Linked DNA regions of Callithrix jacchus. The protein of the gene in region 2 purifies or fractionates together with the protein of the main gene of each other region. This does not show direct contact. Links are inferred from orthologs where the notes say so. Each region holds a gene or a part of one and is shown on either strand. Other genes may lie near its edges.

Region 1 (3,952 bases), on a different chromosome or scaffold from region 2:
AGAAATATTTGGATGTTATTTATAAACATGGAGGTATGTTCCAGAAGACATAGCTTAAAAGTTGGGAACAGTTGCCCCTGGGGATCAGGATAGGGAACATGAGGTGGGGGGGCTATTGTTTTAAAGTTTCTTAGCACAACTTTCCTTTATGTGTCTGTATTTTGTTTAAAACAAAACAAAACAAAACCCTCACTCAGTTTCACGTCTCCCTACAGTAGGCACCGACCTCTATCTCTCTACTCCCTTGCATAGTCAAACCTCTTGAATAGAACATGTTGACCACTTATTCACCACTGTATGCTAGTGCCTAGCAATTGCCTGGTCAATAAATGAATGAACAAACTGCCTAATCCACACCAGAACCAAGACACTGGCCTGTTTAGCACCTGGGACAAATTCTAAATAAACATGAGCCATAGAACAGAAAACAAGGTGACAAAAGACTTGGAGCAGAAGTTGACAAGTAATCCAATAAACGTGAATCACAGTCATAAATATACACTATACGATCATCACAGAATCTCAGGATACAACCTCAAAAATTACTAGTTTTGCCGTCCTAAAGAGGCTTAGTCTATTGTATTGTCACCAAATGCTTTTTCAATTTCTACATTAAAAACTCAAAGGACTGATTAACTGCCATGACTGGCTGGCTGAGCTCTTCTGTCAAGACATACTTTTGAATTTCTGCCATGTTCTCAGCAGTGTTCTAAGAATTGTGAAAACAAACTTGCTGTTCAATATTCTACCAGGGAGAGAAAGAGAGTAATCAGGCAAGTAAACAAACAAGGCAATTACAGAGCTGTGATGGAGAGAGAGTCAGCGCATTTTAATAGAGTGATCAGGGAAGAATAACATTTGAGTTGAGACTAAAGATTGAGAAGCTAAGGGAAAACCTGAGGAAGAAAAGACTAGAAAAGAACAGAATGTGCCAGGGCCCCGAGATAGGACAGAAACTGACATAATGAAGGAGCAAAAAGGCCAGTGTGATTAGGCCGTATTGAGGGAAGAAGACAGTACTACAAGACAAGGCAGGAATCAGATCATGGGGGTCCTTGTTTAAGAGTCTGGATTTTACTCTATGCCAGGGGTGTCCAACCTTTTGGCTTCCCTGGGCCACAATGGAAGAATTGTCTTGGGCCACACATAAAACACACTAACACTAATGATAGCTAATGAGCTAAGAAAAAAGAAAAAGATTTGTGTATAATTTTCATATACGCCACCACAGATAAGAAGTCCTCGAACTCAAAGGGTTGGACACGCTGCTCTAAAGGCCATGGAAGCACTGGTGGATTTTAAGCAAAGTATTATATGACTAAAGTTTTTAAAAGCACATTCCACAAGAGAAACGGACTGTATGGAGGTAGTTGTCGAAAAACAAAGCCTTACGGCGGATACAGTAACCCAAACAAGAGATGAATGAAGGTTTGGGCCACGTTAGAAGAAACAGTGGTAACGGATGGATGTGAAATAGAATGAGGCCTAGAGGTGGCAAGAAACTGAGAGTTTATTTGATCTTTACAAAGCTCTGACTGGAAAAACTTCCCAATACTGAACTAATATTCATCTCGGGATCACCTGTATCCCTTGGGGACAAAAAGTCTTATTCCAGGTACAAACGACACCCATTCAAATGCCTGAAAATAACTACTCTGTCTCCCAGTATCACCACTAATTGCCTTAACCCATCCCCAGAAAAACAAAGTTTTGATCACCTTAACACACAGACACTGTCTTCTGCTCACCAGTTTGTTTACAACAAAAAGCTTTTTTGCGGGTTAAGCAGAGTAAGAAAATAAGAAAAGGCAGGTAAACAGGCAAAGGAAAAGAGCTCTGACAGCTACATGTAGGAGAGAGCTTGCTTCTCCAACCGAAACTCGATCTCTGTGACCTCCTCCACTGCAAATGTCACTGCGAGAATCCACCTATGCAATGGTTTGCGTGTCTGCAATCTGCTCCGCAGACCCATCCGTTCTTCCTTGAATGGAAAATCCATAACCGAGCACAGAACCTCGAAAGGGTAAGGAGGCTCGCGGTATAAAGGTATCTCCAAGGCGTCTTCAGGGTCTTCATCGAAAACAAGAGTTCTCCGGGTGCTTTGAATGAATATCCTTGGATCAGACCCAGAAACGACCCACCTCAAACCTAACTTCAGGTTTCATTCTACGGAGAAGGGAGCTCGGCCACGTCCAGAAGCACCTATGCAGCAGTTAGGCTGCCTGGCCCGGGGGTTGTCTTGCTGTTCAGTGGCACAGGGGACCATCCCACTCCGACCCCCTCCGGGGAAGGGCTGGGGTTGGACAACCTCACATGGCCAGGAATGGGAGGCAGAGAAAAAACGGAAACCCTTTTGGGGTCAGGGGAAGGCCCAGGAACCCCTCGGGTCCTGGCACGGGGGTGTGGTTGGGGAGGGATGCCGAGGCGGTCGACTCGGCTCATTCCCTCAAGCCACAGGAGCACGCAGTGGCCTGACCAGACTCCCAGCCCCTGGCCCGAGGACGGGCCTCGGCCAGTGAGGAGCTGCACAGGCCGGCGCCTCGCCGGGAGGCGCCCAGTCACCGGCCCTGACTCAGCTAAAAGCCGGCGCAGCGGCGGCTCCTCCCTCCCGGCGCTTGCTCGGGGCCGCACTCACCGGCCGAGGTGATCATGGCTGTGCCCCTCACTCGCCGGTCGGCTCGCTTGCAGTTCCAGCCGCGCCTTGTATCTGTCAGCTCAGGGCCCACTCACTCCGCCGCGCCTCCTCGCTCCCCGGGTGCGCTGCTCAGTCAGTCGCCTCCTCAGGCCGCCGGCTCGCTTCTCGCCAGGACCCCGCTCGCCCCGGGGCTGCCCGCCGCCCCGCCTGCCGCCCGGCGCGAATTCTCTCCTGGCTTGCGTCTTCTGCACCGCGGTCTCCTCCTGAGTCCTCGCGGAAGGGTACACGGAGAACATCATTGTTTTCTTTAACCCTCCTAGAGGTCAGGACTCTCGCACGGTGGCAACACTGGTCTGCACCTGAGGTTAGGCATTAGAATGGCCACCCATGCAAAGAGAGGGCCCCACCATCACCCGCCATTGCTGAGAGAAAGGGTGTTGAGGGGAGGTGCGAGCAGGGCGCGCAGTGCCACCTGCTGCTGGGAGGTCTCGCTGCAGCACATCTCTCACCAGCCAATACCTGCGGAATTGGGGCTGCCACAAACTGCGTTTTCTTAGAAAAGTGGTTTTTAATTGTTTTCTAAAGCAATGCCTAACTTCAAAAAATTTTTAAAAACCTCACAGAAGTGCTTTATTATCATAATAAATTCACAAGTAATCATGGTTTATTATAAAGCTGAACAATGAAAGTTTTTACTTACTTTTGGAATACTGTCCAGTGTTACCCATGTACTAAAATGTGCGGTAGTTACATGGTGAAAGCCTTTCCAAGGGAGAAAAAATGTCTTCCATTCTCATTTTTTCCTTCCATCTGCCCAGGTCCTCTTTCCCCTGATGGCAGTGGGTTCTCGTTTCTATTACATCTTTAGAAATTTGAAACGGTAGTTGCAACGGCCATTTGCAGTCTTATAACAGCTTCAGTGGCCAATTTATTTCAAGAGTCAGTACTGACAAAGTCTTGACAAAGAATAGTGGCAAACGGTAGCATCTGTTAAAGCCACTGGCCTTGCACTATCAAGCCAAACTGGACAGCGATGGCAAGTTCATTTCTATGGCCTTCTACCTAACCTAGGGGCACAATTAATGTCTTGTGGTTGCCGGTGAATTAAATGTGCTTGACAACACATTTTGTTGTATGTGTGGATTTTTTTAAAAATTAGAATTCTTGGCCGGGTGTGGGGAGGCCGAGGCAGGTGGATCAGAAGGTCAGGAGTTCGAGACTAGTCTAGCCAGCATAGTGAAACCCCATCTCTACTAAAAATACAAAAAATTAGCCAGGTGTGGTGGTGTGCGCCTGTAATCCCAGCCTCTCAGGAGG
Region 2 (3,511 bases):
AGGCTAAGAGAAACAACTTATCCAGCTCGCTGGTGATGTAATCAACTTAAAACACAAGTCTCCCAAAACCATATCCTATTACTATGTTTGTAATGGAAATTATTTAAATAGCCTTATTACTGAAAGAAAACAACTGCAAATCAGCAGCTGTTTTCTTTCAGTAATAAGAGATAAGAGATAAGAATGTTACTTAAAATATTTCATGTTTCACAAATAAATGTGAAAAAGGTAAACTACACTCCTTTTTCATGCAGACCAGTGCCCAAATTTAAAAAATGAGTATTCCATTTTCCACAAGAAACCTGAGTCTTTTTTTGACCCAAATCCTCCACTATGTGGCAGAGGCAATTCACATGGCACACTTGTCTTTAGGATGGCTGGAGTGGCTTCTGTACATGCTTGCAAGGAAAAGTTGATTATGACAGAAACTGTTCATTCACTACCAAATCCACCCTCCCCTTCTCCCATGGAAGGCAAATGGACACCCAGAATGAAGACTCAGTCTGCTGCCAGGTGTGGCTAAGTACTGACCAACGGGATGGATATAAGTGAAAGTGCTGTCTAGCAGTGCCCAGGAACTCTCAAGAGAGAACTGGCATGTTCACTGTGATCCTTCATCCTTGCTTCACCTCCTCTGCATTCCTGCCTGGAACACAAACAGACTGTGGACCATGAGGCTGATGACCACACCCTAGAAATGGCAGAGCTGGGAGCTGTAAAGAGTCAGTATACCTGAATGCTTTGTGACGCTCCCAATGCTATGTGAGAAACAAACATCAGTCTTGTTGAAGGCCATATTTTGGGATTTCTCTGTTACTTGCAGCTAAACTAATCCTAATAATTAGATCATAGGGGAAAACAATCTTTTAAGTTTTTCTTTTTAAAGTATAAACCAGCACTAAGGATACAGGCAGTATTACCTTCTTGATGAGAGGTATGACAATGTCAGAAAACTCCTGGAATCTGTCTTCTTTGGTGGCCTTCAAGACATCAGCTGCACAGCTGATTGCTACAATCTTGTATTTGAGATTCTCTTTGCTACATTCCTTCAGAACAGCTTGAAGAATTTCATTTGTGCTAGGTTGACTGGGCACAGACTTTTCCAGCTCTGCACTACAGGATCCACAAAAGCATCAGAAGTTAATAAAGGCTGCAGCTTTCAGGTTCAGTTTAAGAAATGGCATCTTCATTGAAAGGACATTTACCTGCAAGCTGTCACCACACAGGCAATGGCTTTCAATAGCTCTTCCTATGGGGTGGAAAGATGAATATGATTAAGCCCAAATGTCATTTATACTCTCTACGCTATGATTACAGTTACCTTAGGAATTCTTATGACAACAAAAATTAACAAGTCACCATATCTTTAATGCATAATTTTAAGCACATTCACCAAGTTTTACTCCAAACCATGGACTCAGGATAATTATCTTCATCTCCATTTCATAGAAGCCTAAAGAGCTGATTTGACCAAGATCTCACAGACAACAGTGTCAACCAGAGAATGAGAATGATGTCTAACTCCCCATCCAGTACTACTTCAGTGCTGCATGAGCCACTATTGACCTTTGCAACATAAAGATCATTATGCTGCCACAATCTCATGTTCCCCACTGAGTGTTCACTGTAAGAATCCTAATATAGCCCTTGTGTAAAAAAATAACTGTTACTAATTCATAGGTCCCAGAGATGGGCATCTTCAGCCCCAGGTTTAGAAGCAGCCCACCGTGCTACTCTATTTCACATATGCCCAATCCTGATCTGTTCATGAGGTCAACAGGCACAAAATGAGGACAAGTTGGTTTAAGATATAACTTGGAAGGCTGAATATGAAAAATGTCTCTATCTCCAGCATTACTGTCCATTATGCAAGGCCACTTAGGTTACAGTTTGAGAGGAAATACCACAGTAAATAAGGCAAGGTTCATCCAAAGCTTCCCACTGCCTAGGAAATCTGGTTCACAAAAATAATCCATCAGAAGTTATACATAATCAGATTCTTATTATGGAAAATGAAAGATGAAGTCAGAATTCCTTTAACTGGGCATGAATGTTTCCTTTACCTTTCCTGCCCATGTTCTTCCAGCCAGGCCTTGCAGCAATGCCGTAAGTATCATTCCCAGATATGGAGGTACTAGAGAGCTAGTTTGTTTTGCAATTGATGCCATGGCAACTGCACCCTGGGCTTTCATTTTCCAGGATTGAGACTGTAAAGCCTTCTGGGTAATAGTAATCAACTCCTGCAGGTATAATCGAATGCCACCAAAAGAACCTGGGTTATAAAAAGGAAAATTAAAACAACTTTTAAGTGACAAGAAAAATTAACTGATTTTTCTAAGTCTGAAAAAATGTCAGTGACTAGTAGTCTAAAAGCAATGATTCTCAACTGTTAAAACACACCACTCTCTCAAAGGAAGAAAAAGTATGTTGGTGGTATGACTTATTCTCACAATGGTAGAACTTTGAAATTCAGTGCCCACAAGAGGTTATCACACAAATGGGCATCATCCATTAATATGTGACAAGGTGAAATACACATTTAGAAAATGACTGAAAAATAATACTCTAAGGCCACATAAATTCACTCTAAATTAAAAATGTAAAGCTCTCCTTGCTCACAGAGTTATATATTCTCTCATATGGGCAGTGATGAATGAGTAAAGACAAAAATCCTGAGTGCCAACCTTTAGAACTCAGCAATTTGGATGAATTTAAAACTAAATGGAATGCATGTTGTTAAGGTCCTGGGAAAGTAACTTTAGAGGAATTTTTGAATAAGGAATGCAAGTAAATACATTGACATTTATTGTGATATAGCTGTGAATCCTAAGAAGCAGGTTTAACTCAGGCACCACTACTAACCAGGTACATTTTCCTGCCATACTTCAGTCCATAAGTTACATTCTTCTTTTTCAGATTTCTCCTCATCAGCAATTTCATGCATGCCTAAAAATGCCAGAGGCAGGACTTCTTTTGCATGATTCTTTAATACATCAGGGCTGTATCGTCCAATAGCATGAATAGTCAAAGCACAAGAGGTCTTGTAGATAGGTTCTGAAAAGGAGAAACCAAAATCTTTATGATATTTTTTGTTTTTAAGGGTAACTGACATAAACAGGCTATTGTTCAACTCATATAATAGCAAAACAAAAAGAAAACAGGTAAAATCATTAGAAATGTTTCCAGAAGGCTGGGTGTGGGTGGCTCAAGGCTGTAATCCCAGCACTTTGAGAGGCCAAGGTGGGCAGATAGCTTGAGCTCAGGAGTTTGAGACCAACCTGGGCAACATGGCGAAACCCCAACTCTACAAAAAATACAAAAATTAGCCGGGCATGGTGGCATGTGCCTGTAGTCTCAGCTACTCAGGAGGCTGAGGCACAAGAATCACTTGAGCCCAGGAGGCTGAGGATGCAGTGAGCCAAAATAGCACTGTTGCACTCCAGCCTTGGCGACAGAGCCAGACACTGTCTCAAAAAAAAAGAAAAGAAACAAATGTTTTTAGCAAAGCACA

The links. The genes of interacting proteins can lie anywhere in the genome.
Region 1: the proteins of ECPAS (region 2) and PSMD1 purify together in Homo sapiens (affinity purification with western blotting; 3 studies listed by BioGRID, with this or other methods). This does not show direct contact. The link is inferred for Callithrix jacchus from reciprocal best matches to the Homo sapiens genes ECPAS and PSMD1.

The regions. Positions count from the first base shown.
Region 1 is NC_133507.1:152,511,317-152,515,268, reverse strand, and holds the start of PSMD1 (26S proteasome non-ATPase regulatory subunit 1), read right to left. Parts: upstream 2,803-3,952; 5' UTR 2,652-2,802; coding exon 2,636-2,651; intron 2,586-2,635; exon of another isoform or gene 1,719-2,585; intron 1-1,718.
Region 2 is NC_133502.1:159,722,669-159,726,179, forward strand, and holds part of ECPAS (proteasome adapter and scaffold protein ECM29), read right to left. Parts: intron 3,055-3,511; coding exon 2,863-3,054; intron 2,273-2,862; coding exon 2,064-2,272; intron 1,250-2,063; coding exon 1,206-1,249; intron 1,114-1,205; coding exon 921-1,113; exon of another isoform or gene 532-920; intron 1-531. UniProt on the Homo sapiens protein: Adapter/scaffolding protein that binds to the 26S proteasome, motor proteins and other compartment specific proteins. May couple the proteasome to different compartments including endosome, endoplasmic reticulum and centrosome.